Sus scrofa: one gene and its partner. The protein of the gene in region 2 binds, or shares a complex with, the protein of the main gene of each other region. Links are inferred from orthologs where the notes say so. Each region holds a gene or a part of one and is shown on either strand. Other genes may lie near its edges. The genes, in order: MCFD2 and LMAN1.

Region 1 (8,480 bases), on a different chromosome or scaffold from region 2:
AAAACAGAAAAAGATGTTCAACATATACCAAGCAAAAAAGAGCAGGCACAGGGAGTTCCCGTTGTGGCTCAGCGAAAATGGCTCAGCGAATACGAATCTGTCTAGTATCCAAGAGGATGCAGGTTCAATCCTTGGCATCACTCAGGGGTCGGGAATCCGGCATTGCCATGAGCCGTGGTGCAGGTTGCGGACGTGGCTCGGATCTGGCATTGCTGTGGCTGTAGTGTAGGCAGGCAGCTGTAGCTCCTATTCAACCCCTAGCCTGGGAACTTCCATATGCTGCAGGTATGGCCCTAAAAAGCTATTAAAAAAAAAAAAAAGCAGGCCACAAAAGTCTGTAAATAATTCATTTTTGTAAAAATCAAAAAAAACTATGTATATTTCTCACACACAGAACAATGACTAAAAACTATGAATAAAGATTATTTTCTGGAGTTCCTGTCGTGGCTCAGTGGTTAATGAATCTGACTAGGAACCATGAGGTTGCAGGTTCGATTCCCTGGCCTCGCTCAGTGGGTTAAGGATCCGCGTTGCCGTGAGCTGTGGTATAGGTTGCAGATGTGGCTCAGATCCCGCGTTGCTGTGGCTCTGGTGTAGGCCGGCGGCTACAGATCTGATTAGACCCCTAGCCTGGGAACCTCCATATGCCACGGGAGTGGCCCAAGAAATGTCAAAAAGACAAAAAAAAAAAAAAAAAGTTATTTTCTAAATTATGAGATTAGGAGTAATTTTGATTTTCCTTCTCCTTTTATTGCTTCTAAAATTTCTACTATACGCATATTTTTTCTTTACAAATATGTTTTTAATGCAATTCATCCCACAATTTTGTTCCAATACTCTACGGATAAAATAAAAAGGGGGGTTCCAGTTAATTTCATCTATAAAAAGTCAGTCTGGAACAGCCGGAAACTAGGTCCCACCTTGACCAAATAAAAGTGTCCAGACCCTGGGAGTTCCTGTTGTGGCTCAGCGAGTGAAGAACCTGACACAGCATCCATGAGGATGTGGGTTTGATCCCTGGCCTCACTCAGTGGGTTAAGGATCCGGTGTTGCTGTGCGTCATGGTATAAGTCATAGATGCAGCTTGGATCTGGTGTGGCTGTGGCTGTGGTGTAGACTGGCAGCTATAGGTCTGATTCAACCCCTAGCTGGGGAACTTTGATGTGCCACAGGTGAGACTATAACAAGAAAAAAAAAAGTGTCCAGACAATGATGAGGCCACTGACACTGTACCTGGTAGAGAAAACAAGGTCTCAAGTTACTCTCTGCAGAGATTGCCCCAACCAGAGCAGAACAACATGTTCTGACCACATACTGTAGAGTTCTGGGACCAGACGGACCAGAGCGGGAAGCCAGTTCCTCCCAGGCCTTTCTGATTCATCGGCCTTGGAGCTCTCTCTTCAGCAAGCCGTCTTCAATTCCAATCTAATTTAGGCATTCTTTTTTTTTTTTTTTTTTTTGTCTTTTTTTTGCCTTTTTCTAGGGCTGCTCCCACAGCATATGGAGGTTCCCAGGCTAGGGGTCTAATCAGAGCTGTAGCCACTGGCCTACACCAGAGCCACAGCAACGTGGGATCGAGCCGCATCTGCAACCTACACCACAGCTCACGGCAACGCTGGATCCTTAACCCACTGAGCGAGGCCAGGGACCGAACCCGCAACCTCATGGTTCCTAGTCGGATTCGTTAACCACTACGCCACGACAGGAACGCCTAACTTAGGCATTCTTTCCACTTGCTCCTAAGTGGAAAGGCTGACAACAGCTGTGCACGAGACCTTGAACATGCTGATAACCCCTCAGTGCCCCTGCTGGACCGGGCTCAGTGAGGGTGGGGACCGGATCCACATTCCCCGCACTGGGCACAGTGCCTGCACAGAGGCTGGTGGTTCTCAGCCTGTGTGCTGTGGTCCTTGGGGGCTAGGGGCAGGGGATTACCAGCTTCACAGATATGCGGCCAGGTTTTGATGTTAATGTAACTGAAGATAAAACTTGTTTTTGGATACATCTATCTGACAGTAGAGCTGAGTGATCATGGGACCCATGGCACTATTTCCTAGAACTTACTTGGCTGGATGCTTAGTATATCAGATGGGTATGGGGAGAGATTTTCTATTCAAACAATACTAAAAGGCAATCAAGTGATTGGGAATACAGTGACTTTGGGTCCAAATGGTCCCCTCTTCAAGGGAGGCAGGATAAAGGGCAGGAACCATCCATTTTGGACTTAGCCCACTTTGGTTAGCTGTTGCAGGTTTCTAAGCATTAGAAAACAACAAGGAGTTCCCTTCATGAACCCGACTAGCATCCATGAGGACGCGGGTTTGATCCCTGGCCTCGCTCAGTGGGTTAAGGATCCGGCGTTGCTGTGAACTGTGATGTTAAGTTGAAGATGCAGCTTGGATTCCGTGTTGCTGTGGCCATGGTGTAGGCTGGCAGCTACAGCTCTGATTCAACCCCTAGCCTGGGAACCTCTGTATGCCTCAGGTGAGGCCCTAAAAAGACAAAAAAAGAAAAAAAAAGAAAACAACAAAAGCCAAATCTATGAGCACAGAAGAGAAACTCCCTTGTACAAGTGCTACAATGAGGACAAGAAATCTGACTGCCACCTAACAAGTTAAACTGTTCACACAGAAAAGGAAATATCAGCAACTCCTTTCCGTCCAAAGAACAAGTTGCATCAGCCACACTCCAACTCAGCTCAAGGCCATAAGCAAAGAGCTTGGCAGATGAGCCCCAGGAGTTCCTGGGCTCAGTGGCCCATGAGAAATTGGAAGGGCTAGGCTGGAGACACATCCAAAGGAGGACAGATTTCTGAAAGGAAGACTTTGGAACACAACCCCACTTTGAAACATCCTTCATGAGGAGAAGCGCCAGGCCTGGGAGGAAGCTTGGACCTTGGATGGTGGCAGGCTCCCACAGTGCCTTGACAGTGACAGGGCTTCCCTCACTGCTCCAGCCATCTTTCCCAGTCCTAGAGCCTTTGTTCCACTGCTTCCATCTGTCTGTCCTCCCTCTTCCTTCCAGGCCCAATTCAAATGTCATCTCGGGGTTCTCCCAGCCAAGACTAACTGTGACCTCCAATGACCTCAGTCTGCAGTCTCTTGCACTCACTTGGCCTTGACATACGGTCACATTGTATTCTCCTTTTGTTTTTCTCTTTTCCTCCCTCTGCGAGGGCTGAGAAGCTATTTTCTCTGCCTCTCCTTTACCCAACTGAATTTATCACAAACTGCTGAGCTGACCTGGCATAGCACGCCTTCATCAGAATTGGGGCAGTGGGTCCTGGCATGGAGCCATGCTGTTCCCTATCACAGAAGAGCTGACCCAAGCTAGAAAAGCAACTTTGCTTTGGAGACCTCCCACCAGGGGCTCGGCTTGGCCCACCCTTCCTTCTCATTGTGTCGTTAGGCCACACGGAAGAGTTTGGAGCCAGCCTTCCTCCCATGAAAACCACAGCAGCTGTTAGCAACTTTTCCCTCATGCTGGGGCCCTCAGGAAAAACTTCGAACCCACAGCAGCCACACTCACCAACATCCAGACATCGTGTGCTCAGAGTCAATGCCAAAGAAAAACTCTGGCTGACAGTTGCCCATTTAAAACAGCCATGGTGCTAGACTGAAGGCAAGAAAGGAACCAAGTTCCTAGACAAAGAAACCTCTACATGGGTTGGGGGCTGACTACTGGTTCTGAAAAAGCAGACATTCAATAACTTGATCTACTTGTTCATTTGGAGACCCAGGGAGCTGCCATGCTTCACTTACACATTTAATCTTTTTTTGGGGGGGGGGCCTTTTTGCCTTTTCTAGGGCCACTCCCGCAGCATATGGAGGTTCCCATGCGACCCTACACCACAGCTCATGGCAGCGCCGGATCCTTAACCCACTGAGCCAGGCCAGGGATCAAACCCGCAACCTCATGGTTTCCAGTCGGATTCGTTAACCACTGAGCCATGACAGGAACTCCACTTATACATTTAATTAACACGCTTTACTAGAAGCCTGGTGCTGACAGGTTCTGAGGATAGGACTGTGACCCAGACTGGCTCCTGTCCCACAGATTTCAGCCTGGTGGGAAAAGAGAGAGTAAATAAGTCAGCTGTAGGATACCACAGAAGCCCCAATCCACACCTGGATTAATACATGAAAGAGGATTTCTTCAATTAAAGGACAACACCTCTGGCAGAGGGAATGACATAACAAGTCTTAGCCTTCTAGCCTAAGCCCAAAAGAATGTCCAATCTGAGAACCAAAAATGGTTCAATGTGGTTGAAAACACAGTATAGTGGAGATAGATGCGACAGACTAAAGCAAAAAGAGGAAAGGTCATGAGGGGTCTCATAAGCCCGTCCAAGAGCTTGAAAGAGCAATGGGAATTCACAGAAAGGCAGTAAGGGAAGAGTGAGTAGGTCTGGTGACTTTTTTGTGTTTTAAAACCATCACTCTGGCTTTCCAGTACATAACAAACTACAGAGGAAAAAGGAGATACAGGGAGCTAGTCAGGAAGCTACCAAGGAAGTCCAGGGGAGAGATGATGGTGGCCTGAACCAGCTAGAGCAGAGGGACTGGGTGTGACGAAGTGGGTGTATCCAGAGATTTGCGATGGATTCGATGTGGATGGGTAAAGGGTGCAGCGGACGAGAAGGACGCCCAGGTTTCCGGCTTGTGCAATCAGGTGGATGGCGGTGCCATACCAGACAAAAAATACAAGAGGGGAATACAAAGTTCCCCCGCCTCCCCCACTCCCCTGGCACAACGTGGCCAAGCTCGCCAGCCCAACAGGACCTGTTTATTTGTCTCCCCCGGAGGGAGACGGAGTACCAGGGGCAGACGGAGAGCAAAGACTCAGGCCCGCGCGCGCAGGTCACGGCAGATTGGCCGCGCCCATTAGGCTTATCGCCCCTGCGGCTTCTCCCCGGGAAGAGGCTCTTCTCCTAGTCAGCTATCTTCTCGAGGCGGCTCGGGTCCGAGACCCGCAGCCAGGCCGCTCCTGTCTCCCAACCTGAGCCCGAAGCCCCGGGATCCTTGAAGGACGCCGGGATCGCGCCTTGCTGAGGACCCCTGAGGCCCGCCCCACGGATCTCCTCCTCCAAGGTCGGGTCACAGGCCTCACAGGCCGCAGCCAGATCACGACTGTCCCGTGGTTCACTCACCCTCTCTGCCACCAGCTGCCAAACAGCTTTCCGCAAAAGCGAAGCACCCCGGCGTGAGCCTCGACAGCCCCGGTCCTCAGAACTCTTTTCCCTGGCCCTGGCCCCGCCCCACTCCCCGTCCGCTGTGCGCACGCGCGCCCCTTCTGCCCGCCCATTGGCGCCGTGAAGCCCCTCCCCTGCTCCGCTGGTGTAGTGCGGGCCGCTGGGGCGATTCCACGTGTAACGGACCGTGGCCCGGTAAAGGTCAGGCGGAGGCATTTCTTCTGCCCACCCTCCAGAGGGTGAGGATGGTGGGGACCTGCGTTGGGCTATCTGAACCCCCAGAGTCCTGACAGGTTGCTAGGCAATGCAGGAAGCCCCCCAGAGAGAAATGATGGCTAATGCGACGGGGTGGGCGCCAAAACTGGCTTTTGGTTCCACCTCCACATTTACAGGTCCCTGCATTCCTCTGACTGCAAGTTGGGAAGTATAATAGTATAAAGAAAAAATGTTGCCTGCCAGTCCTGTTCGCCGAGGATCAAGCCATGAGCCACTGTACTTGCCCACCCACCGTGTGCCCTGAGGGGAATTCAGAATGGAGAAAAACAGGAAACATTCTGTACTATAGATATACTGGCTTCAGTTAAGCTGTATCTCTAAGGAAAATTCTCAACTGACCCCATATTCTTGCATCTTCTCTTTCATAGAATGACACTAAAAGCATTAATTTGAGATGTCTGTTCTTTGCGATTAGCAGCAATCTTTTGATGCTTGACTAGATGTCTTTCCCCTCAAAAGAGTTCATATATATCCTAGCTTGTTCCTTACCTCTTGAGAGCAGATCCTCAGAGCCGAGAAGCTGTCTCCTCCACTATAGTCCCCAGTAAGTTCCCTTAATAAAACTTTTAACTCACAACTTCTATGTTGTACGTTTTTCTTTTAGTCAGCAGTAAGGAATTTTAATTCTTCTCATGATGAAACAGCCAAAAACACTGGAGCTGGCCTTGGATCCCTCGTTTCCAAGACTGGCCTACGTGCAGCCTCTGATTGCTCCATTCTGCAAGCTGCATCTTCTACAATACACATTCACTCGTATATGAGTCCCACCAAGATTTTATGGGCAGCCCAGTTCAAATACCACTTTACCTGTGCGGTTTGTGAAATCAGTCATCATTCAAGACAGGAAAAAGCACTCCCAAAAAACTGACCCACTAACAAAGGAAACAAACAGATAAGCCCCATATGATTCTGCCCTTATACCTTTTCTCCTATACAAGACTGTTCAGTGAATAGTTATTGATCAGATGGGTAAGTGAATGTAGGACTGTCATTTTTAAAATTCCTTCTCCCATTTGTGCCCATAAAGATACATAATCTTTTTTTTTTTTTTCTTTTTTTCAGTCTTTTTAGGGCCACACCTGAGGCATATGGAGTTCCCCAGGCTAGGGTCCAATGGGAGCTGAAGCCACTGGCCTACACCACAGCAATGCCAGATACGAGACACATCTTCAACCTATACCACACCTCATGCCTGATCCTTAACCCACTGAGCAAGGCAGGGATCGAACCCACGTCCTCATGGGTGCAAGTCAGGTTCGTTAACCGCTGAGCCACGACGGCAACTCCTACATAGTCATTTTCATGTGAGCCTGGATCCAGAAAGGGAGAGACAGAGAAAGAAAGTGATTAAGTAGATGATCCCAGAACACTCCCTGCAGTCTGCTTTAGGAGATCAGGGCCCTGCAAGTTGATCGGGATAACTGCTACTGATCATGACTCATTCCTTTTCCCACCTTCAACTGAGTTTGAAATCTGTCAACCCTACCCTAGAGAAAAATTCCAGGATCCCAAAGTCCCTGAAGAAACTCTTACTAATTCAAATACAAACAAGACATGGTCTCTTCTTTCAACAAGCTCAGTGATATCTCCACATGAGTGTCTAACTAGCATACATTTAACTTGGCCCCCCGATATATTAATTTTCACCTCCAAACATGTACCACCCTGTTTTGCCCATTTTAGTAAATGTCACTGCCATTCACTTTTTTCAAGCCAAATTCTAGTGGTTCCCCCCCAAAAAAACTTTATTGAGATATCATTGACATCAAGAAACAATCATCTACTACCTAGACTAGGTGAGACCTTCCCAACTGACCTCCCCGTCTCCATTCTTGCCCCATTCTAGTCCATGAGACAATACGTTTGTGTAAGCCCTCTCTAGGTTGTATGTTTTATAACTTGTAGCTGAACAGATTCCTAACAGGAAAATAATTTGGTCCCATAAGTAAGACATAAAACCAGACACTAAAATGTGGAATTGGTTAACTGAAGGGCAAGGTAGCCACAGGTTAAGGCTCTATTCTAAGTGGGAAAGTTGGTGACCAACTTGTTAAGCAAATTGAAAGTGTTGAGCTGCTGTCACTTGCTGGACCTTGGGGAAAACCCACATGCCCAAAGTTGTATGGCCCGAGGAAGCTCAGAAACAATATAGAACATTAGTGAGTGTTGGATGTTTTTTTTTTTTTTTTTTTGAAGTACCTTTCAGCAAAGTCCTTCAAGACAGTGGCGAATCCAGATTAGAGATAACTGATTTGAAAGCAGAGATTAAAGAAAATAAGACCTTGGTAAGAGAGCAACATCTTACCTGCAGCTTATGACCTAAATTGGCTGAGTCCCACAATTTGGAGTCTTTCTGGATTGAAATAAACAATTTTCTTTGAATACAAAGCCAAAGCCAACACCAATGGAGACAATGAAGAGGGAGCTTTATCAGGAGATAAGGTGGAGGCCTGAGGTAGTGAGGATGGGCTAGAGGTGCCATGTCTGCCTGCTGTGTTTGAATTGCCTCCGCTGCAATGGTGCACACAAAGATCACCCCCTAGAAGACTTAAATAGGCTAATATTTGGTTTTCCTTGTTATTTATTTATTTTATTATTTTTTTTTTTGTCTTTTTGCCATTTCTAGGGCCACTCCCACGGCATATGGAGGTTCCCAGGTTAGGGTTTAATCAGGGCTGTAGCCACCAGCCTACACCAGAGCCATAGAAACATGGGCTCCTTAACCCACTGAGCAAGACCAGGGATCGAACCCACAACCTCACGGTTCCTAGTCAGATTTGTTTCCACTGTGCCACGATGAGAAGTCCCTTCTTGTTCTTCAAGGAGAAAACTATTAGAGAAAAGAGGTGGAAATAACCTCAATTTATACCTTTTTGTACTGCTTTAATTTTTTTTTTTCCCCTCAGGGTGGCACCCGAAGTATATGGAAGTTTCCAGGCTAGGGGTTGAACCAGAGCTGTAGCTGCCAGCCTATGCCACAGCCACAGCAACGCAGGATCCCAGTCCCATCTGT
Region 2 (7,993 bases):
TCTCCTTTAAACATATTATGTGATTCTATTTACAAGGAGAGGCAGAACTAATCTAAATTAATAGAAATCAGGATAGTGTCGCCTCTGTGGAGTGTAACTTGAAAAACGTATAAGAGAACTTTCTGGGGTAATGAAAACATTCTATACACTGATCTGGGTGATGGTTAAAGGGGTATATACATTTGTCAAAACTTGAATTAGTCTCTTAAAATTTGTATATTTTATTTATGAAAAGATTTAGAAATGGAGTTGAGAACAGTTGATTTTCCTTTTGTTCCTGACTATGCTGAACATATCATTTCATTCACTTACTACAATAAGCTTCAGGATATACTCAGGAATCATATGTGATGTTTAAAAAAAATCCAAGAAAAAAATGAAATTTATCATTCATTTTTATCAATAAATTTGAATCGTGTCGTTAATAGTTAGAGCATCACAAACTTAGTTCAAAAGCTATCTCCAAGCTTTATTAAATATGATCTTGATCACCTGTGCTGATGAGGAACTCAGATCATAAAAGTTAGCAGATTATACACTTACTCTATTTGGCTTTATCTTGTTTTATTTTTGCCTTGTGGCCCATGTAAGTTTTTAATTACACTGGCTTAGACTAATATTTTAAAATTTTCAACCTTTAATGTCAGAATTCTGTTGAGTAGTTAAGAGGAAGAGAGTCAGGTAATGACTTCACATTACCCTGGAAATAGTTTTGATAGTTTTAAAGTATTAGCTCTATAGTACCAAGATAATTATGAGCCACTAAAAGGAAAGAAATAAACCTTGGAAATTTTCATTCCACAAATATTTACTGAGTCTCAACTGCTACATCAGCACTGCTGTTGTTTTTTAGGTTTATGGGACCCAGCAATCAACACAACAGAGAGACCCCTGCACTCAACGGAGCTTACACTCCAACAGTTCACTGTTTGTCCGTGTCACCCAGGTAGTCCTAAGTGCACACATCACAAGCCACACTTTACCTGGTAAAAACATCAATCTCCAAGCCCTTTAAATACTGGAGATTTGCTCAAAAATTCTTTACAGAAATTACTCAGAATGTGCCAGATAGGAGTAGGATAAGATGAATAAAGTGCTAGGTGACACACACATGCCACAACTACTGCTGCCGTGGAGGACAGCTTTGCTCCAACTCACCAGGATGCCCTTGAAGGTCAGGGTGGTCCTTCTGGAATTCCTCCTTTTTTTTATCCAATTCTTGTTGAAAGTGTTCAAATTCCTCCTGGTACTTTTCTTTTTCTTTTTCAGAAATTTCTTTATCTGGTGTAGGCTTTTTTTAGAGTTTAAGAATAGATCATTGAAAAAAATTAAAAGGAAAACAGTAAGCCTCAATATTCTTTTTCTCATTTTAACTACTTCACCACTAGGTGAAAGGTTAATTTGTTCTTTCTACTAATATTACAACAAAAAATAACAGCCACTACCATTTACTGAGTGCTCACTAGAAGAGCACTGTCTTTAATGCTTTACAACATCAACATGGCCAGTACAAGCATCTCAGTTTTACCAGTGAAGAAATACAGCATTATAGAGGTTAAGTAACTGTATCAGGGCACACGGCGATAACTGGCAGAAACAAGACCCAAACCTAAGTCAGTCCTCTCAAGTTTTTAGCTACAAGGCATTACCACTAAACTGTAAATAAATTTTTGGAAAAAAAAAAATGAGTATACTTACTGGCTCTTTCCCAGGCTCAGTCAATTGGAAAGTCAGAAAAGAAAGGACATCATGGTCATCTACAAATTAAAAACAAAACAAAATAAAACAATCTGGAGTTCCTGTCATGGAGCACCAGAAACAAATCCCCGACTAGGAACCATGAGGTTGTGAGTTTGAACCCTGGCCTCGCTCAGTGGGTTAAGGATCTGGCATTGCCATGAGCTGTGGTATAGGTTGTAGACGTGGCTCAGATCTGGTGTTGCTGTGGCTGTGGCCTAGGTTGGCAGCTGTAGCTCCTATTCGACCCCTAGCCTGGGAACCTCCATATGCTGTAGGTGTGGCCCTAAAAAAAAAGCAAAAAAAAATCTGAAAAAGTGCCATAATAGACTTTATGATTGTGAATATACTTTACAGACATATGTTGCTTTAAAATAATAATCAATAAGGGAAATAACTAAAATTAGCTCTACTTTGGTAAATGCACAAAAGACAAAAGTTCATCTGAAAGACTTATATTGAAACTAAGCTGGAATTCATTTTTCTTAAATACAAAACCAGAATATTTAGCAGTGTTTAACATATTATGGATGTTTAATACATGTCTGATAAGGGAAGGAACAAATAAACGAAGGGTCCAAACAAGCCCCAAGTACTAATCCAGGCACTAAGATTCTCCTTTTTTTTTTCCTACAAATCTCCTTCAGGGACTGTGTCTCAGTGAGATAAGATCCTGTCCTTCATGTACTTTCTGCTCCTAGCTGTCTCTGAAGCTTTCTTATGGCACTTACCACTCCCAGCCCTACTTTCCATTTTAAATACGACACTGCTCTGTCCTAGCTTACAGGGAGAGTCCTGATTTATCTGTTATCTCCTTTTACTCTCAAAGCATCTGATTTAGATATTATGGTTACTCTTCTATACATCATTTATATTTTTTCCCTTACACAGTAGGTATTAACAATTTTATTTCACCTAAAATTGTATTAAAAAGTCAAATTAATTTCAAGCTGTTTAAGCTAGAAATAGCTAACTGATCAAACCACACACCTTGGAACTAAAATATTCAGCCTGGTTCATGTCATATCCACAAAGCAAGATAAGTGAATTTCAACTGTGAATATCCCTTTGCTTTCTGTCACTTGTATAGAGATCTATATATGTAGCCAGATTAAAAAAAGAAAATTATAATACCACAATGTAGGCTAGGTAATGTTAGGAAAAGTCATGCAGTGTTAAGAGAGCACTGGACCCAGGAGCCAGAAATCCAAATCAAGTCCTGCGTGGATCTGATGTACTAGCCTGATGCTCTTTACAAAGTCTTTTAATCCAAGATTTGGCAAACTCATGTAACAACAGGATGAATACGATCTATCTTCTCTCCCTCCCACCGTGTGTCATTTTAAGGAAAAACGCAAACGTTTGAAAATAATAAAGATATTCTACAATATGACCACAAGATGGTATTAACATCCAATGGTAAGTTCATTTATCACCACACATGGAAAAAAATGGAAAGTACATTTTCTTTGAACTTTAGTTCCTAATATTTCCTCAGGCTACCAAATTCATTCATTCATTTTTCCTTTCTACGGCCGCACCTGTGGCATATGGAAGTTCCCGGGCTAGGGGTCAAATTGGAGCTGCAGCTGCTGGCCTACAACACAGCCACAGCAACCCAGGATCCAAGGCGCATCTGCAACCTACACCGCAGCTTGCAGCAATGCCGAATCCTTAACCCACTGAGCGAGGCCAGGGATCAAACCTACATTCTCACAAAGACTATTTGGGTTCTTAACCTGCTGAGCCACAATGGGAACTCCCCAAATTCATTTAAATGCTCTGTGACAACTCTCAGGATCCTAAAACACTTGGCAATTAACCTTTTAAATATATCTCCTTCACTATAAAATAGTGTACCCAAACTGATACTCTTAATTTACATAACTACGTAGCCCTAGCCAACTATATGCCTGCAGAAAGCAAACAGAGAATCAGCAGTTCCAAGAGACCAAAAGACTGGCACCACAGACTATGGGACAGTTATAACTAGTCTTAAAAGTTAAAAATAAACCAGGCTACACATTTCCAAAATACAGTATTCTCAATCAAATTCAATTCACAATCTTTTAATATTAAAAGATAACAATATTTTACCTGCAAGACCTCCAGTTGCAGCAGATATTCCAAAATGCCCCTGTGCAGGAATAATCATATTTTCTACCTTGGCGCAAAATTCATAATCATTTTTATCTGGTGTGAAGCCATTATGGATCATTACCTAGAAAGACATAATCAGTGCATGACTCTTTGACCTTTATATTTGGTCTAAAAACTGTCAAAAAGCTATCAGAGTCAATCATTATGTTGGACATCTTAAACTGATACAGTATTATATGTCAATTACATCTCAATAAAATTGGAAGACATAAATTAAAAAAAAATTAAAAGCCATTAGCTTTCTCTCATTGTCATAAAGGGTAATCCCTCATCCATTAAATAAACTCACTTATTTGGTATCATTATATGTTAAGATATTTCACTTAAGAAAATGTATTTTGCCCTACTATGTGTCAAGGCTTAAAAAGAAAAATCTAGTAACTTCCCATGAAAATCCTTCTAAAACAGAATGTGGTTCACCTTCTCTGGAGAAGACTTTGGGAACCACAGTCTTTCTTTGAATGGTTCACAAAGAAGAGGGATTAGGCATGTTCTGAAACCGCAGTGGCAAACTACAATGAATAGGTTGAACTGGCAATTATTACTATAGCTAGTACAGAATTCCCTACATTGCCTTAGCAAGTAATGAGCGCCTCTTCATTAAGTTAGGGGAGTAACTGGTCTGTCCTCAGTTAGCAGAAGGACAGCAAAAGTGCAAGTCATGTTAACAAAAAAGGCAGAAAATGAATAGAATACTACTCAGCCAGGAGTTCCTGTCATGGCAGAGGAAAAGAATCCGACTAGGAACCATGAGGTTGAGGGTTTGATCCCTGGCCTCACTTAATAATGGGTTAAGGATCTGGTGTTGTGGTGAGCTGTGGTGTAGGTTGCAGATGCGACTCAGATCTGATGTTGCTGTGGCTGTGGCCTAGGCCGGCAGCTGTAGCTCCTATTGGACCCATAGCCTGGGAACCTCCATATGCCACGGGTGAGGCCTTAAAAAGCAAAAAATAAAAAATAAAATAATACTCAGCCATAAAAAATAACGAAATCTTGCCATTTGAGACAATGCAGATGGACCTAGATGGTATTAGGCTCAGCAAAGTAAATCAGACAGAGAAAAACGATGTATGATTTCACTTACATGTAGACTCTAAAGACCAAAACAAGCAAACAACAAAACAGAAATAGAGTCACAGATTCAGAGAACAAACAGGTGGTTGCCAGAGGTGAGAAGATGGGGAGGAGGAGAGAAATACGTGAAAGAGATTAAGGGGTACAACCTTCCAGTGGCAAAATAAATGAGTAACAGGTATGAAATGTACAGTGTGGGGAATACAGTCGATAATTATGTAGTATCTTTGTGTGGTGATAAATAACCAGACTTAGCATGGTGATCATTTTGAAATGTACAGAAATACTGAATCATTGCATTGTATATCAGGAAATAACATTGTGCTGTAGGTCAATTTTACTTGAAAAAACAAATAAAAAACGAACTCATAGAAAAAGAGATCAGATTTGTGGATACCAGAGGTGGGTAGGTGGGGGTCAGAGGTAGAGAGTGGGAATTGGATGAAGATAGTCACAAGGTAAAGACTTCCAGTTACAAGATAAATAAGTACTAGGGATGTAATGTACAACATGATAAGTACAATTAACACTGCTGTGTGTTATATATGAAAGTGGTCAATTTTAAGAGTAAATCCTAAGAGTTCTATTACAAGGAAAAATTTTTTTTCTATTTCTTTAATCTTGTATCTATGTGAGATGATGGATGTTCATTAAACTTAATGGATAATCATTTCATGATGTATATTAGCCAAAGCATTATCCTGTACCTTTAAAACTTTAACAGTGCTGTATGTTAGTTATATTACAACAAAACTGAAAGAAAAAAAGGAGAAATTGCATGTAAAGTCCCAAGCACATGGTGCACCCATCAAGAGTCAAGGAGTCTAAATCATCCTATTTTTTGCCCTTTTCACAAATACCCTTATAAAAACACTGCTGCCTAGTCATCTTTCTAATGACTGATCAAACCTGATCATTTCACTTTCCTGCTTAAAACTCTTTAAAACAGTTCCTTATAGGATAAACTACATGAGGCTGTGAGACCTGTTACTGCCAACCTTTCAACCTCACTTGCCAAATCTCCTCTATCCATCAGCAATACCAACTACATGCCTTTCCCAAATCTTTCAATGGTCCTGACACACCCCGTCTAGGAGACTCCAACTTCCCCTTCAAGGCGCAGCTCAACTCTGAAAAACTGTTCCTGACCGTACCCACTCCAGCCTGGAAGAGTTACAGGACTCCAGCCTCTTGATTCCTCAATGGTATCTGTGTTGTAGCATCATCACACAGCACACTAATGTTACACAAGCATAATGTTACCTAAGTCCCTCTTCCATTGAAAGACAAATGCTTTGGAGAAAATGACCTTTGTCTTACTCATATTTGTGTGGTACACAGTAGGATGCCTACACATTCACTGACCAACTGCAAACCTTCTGGCAAGGTGTGATAATGCATGACCACTTAAATGGAGCTTTGAAGTCACTTCTGTTCTCTCGTAGTAACACTGATGAGTATGTGAACAATATCCAGATTTAAAATGCATTTAATTTCTATCAAAGATTCAGAATGAGAGTCACACTAGAATACTGTTTATTTGATTATCTCTAAATGCATGTTACTTACTGTCAATGTTTTCTGGTAATATATAATCTTTGCCCGGATAGGATAGGGTTTATTACGAAAGTCCCTCTGGCAACTTGCTAAAGCTTGATTAGCACCATCACTATAGTATAAGGGAAAGGAAGACAAACAAGAAACTTAGGAAGCCTTCTCAATATTTAAAAACTTACTATTTAAAATGATTAATGTCCAGAAAGATTAAAACAGTATCAAGTATTGTTATTGACAAGGCCTATAATATTTGAAGTTATTCCTGCAGAAAACAAAAGTTAACACATGAGTTTTTCCTGTGATGTGGGTCAGGACTCCAGATAACATAAGGAGCCAATGCTACCACGGCTGCTGGCACAGGGAAGGGATACTATTCTTCCACATGAGACTAGGGAGGAGTCAGAGTCACATATACTGCAGATTCCTAGATCCCACCCTCAACTGAAGCAGAATCAGGAGAGGGAGGCCCTAGTACCTCTGAGTTAGTTTAAACAGTTCAACAGGTGGTCATGATGAACTACCTGAGTTAAAAATCACTAAAGGAGGAAAGTAATTTTTCTTATAGTTCACTGGGTAAAAGGTAATTCCCCCCATAACACACATGTGAGAACTTAAAATGTACATACTAATTCATACACATTATAAATATACTAAAGACTGGAAGCTTTGGAGCCCAATAAGAATGCATTTTTAAATTATTATTATTATTATTATTTGCTTTTTAGGGCCACACCTGCAGCATATGGAAGTTCCCAGGCTAGGGGCTGAATTGGAGCTGCAGCTGCTCGCCTACACCACAGCCACAGCAACTTTGGATCTGAGCCACGTCTGCAACCTACACCACAGATCACAGCAACACTGGATCCTTAACCCACTGAGTGAGGCCAGGGATCGAACCTACATCCTCATGGACACTAGTTGGGTTTGTAACCCACTGAGTGAGCCACAATGGGAATTCCCTGAGATTTTATTTTAAATACAGCAACACTAAGGCTGAAGGAAGTAGCATAAATTGCTTACTCACTAGGTTGGTTAAGGCTCTGAACTTTACTTTTTAAAGATCTTTTCTAATAAAGATGAAAAAAAAATGACTATTGGCATCACTGAGAACCAGGAATGTTTCATAAGCCTTTAAAGATACTATATAATTTTAAGTAAACTGTAACACACTTCCATGTTTGAAATCTAGGTGGTCCACAGGAAGCAATTTAAAACAAAACCAAATTAAAATAAGACCTTTCTACTAAATTACAAAAAACATTTCAAGAAAAAGGATAATCTTATTTCATCTGGAAAATGTTCGGATTTGAAACATTTTATAAGGTTTCCAAAAAGATGTGAAATTAGGAATAATGTAAAAATACACACTTACTTTTGATGGTCATATTGGATTTGTCCATTGTTGCCTATGATTACTATTGCAGGATTATTTTTCTAAAAATAAAGAGAATGTATTTGTTTTAAA

The links.
Region 1: the proteins of LMAN1 (region 2) and MCFD2 are in contact, whole or in part, in a cryo-EM structure (PDB 8JP5), measured with the Homo sapiens proteins. The link is inferred for Sus scrofa from reciprocal best matches to the Homo sapiens genes LMAN1 and MCFD2. Residues at the interface, in NP_005561.1 of Homo sapiens: His43, Arg44, Arg45, Phe46, Tyr48, Lys49, Ser51, Phe52, Lys53, Pro55, His56, Gln59, Ser60, Asp61, Val64, Pro65, Phe66, Trp67, Lys96, Phe265, Glu273, Lys279, Glu280, Ile281, Glu285, Lys286, Tyr289, Glu292, Phe293, Phe296; in NP_001164977.1 of Homo sapiens: Val59, Ile60, Asn61, Lys62, Gln70, Glu71, Leu74, His75, Phe77, Lys78, Tyr82, Asp83, Asn86, Asp89, Gly90, Leu91, Glu92, Thr95, Thr98, His99, Val100, Leu111, Glu114, Leu117, Ile118, Ile121, Asp122, Leu125, Asp129, Lys130.

The regions. Positions count from the first base shown.
Region 1 is NC_010445.4:93,617,863-93,626,342, reverse strand, and holds the start of MCFD2 (multiple coagulation factor deficiency protein 2), read right to left. Parts: upstream 5,423-8,480; 5' UTR 5,408-5,422; coding exon 5,150-5,407; intron 1-5,149. UniProt on the Homo sapiens protein: The MCFD2-LMAN1 complex forms a specific cargo receptor for the ER-to-Golgi transport of selected proteins. Plays a role in the secretion of coagulation factors.
Region 2 is NC_010443.5:161,612,176-161,620,168, reverse strand, and holds part of LMAN1 (protein ERGIC-53), read right to left. Parts: intron 7,963-7,993; coding exon 7,901-7,962; intron 6,641-7,900; coding exon 6,541-6,640; intron 3,959-6,540; coding exon 3,835-3,958; intron 1,758-3,834; coding exon 1,699-1,757; intron 1,292-1,698; coding exon 1,159-1,291; intron 1-1,158. UniProt on the Homo sapiens protein: Mannose-specific lectin. May recognize sugar residues of glycoproteins, glycolipids, or glycosylphosphatidyl inositol anchors and may be involved in the sorting or recycling of proteins, lipids, or both.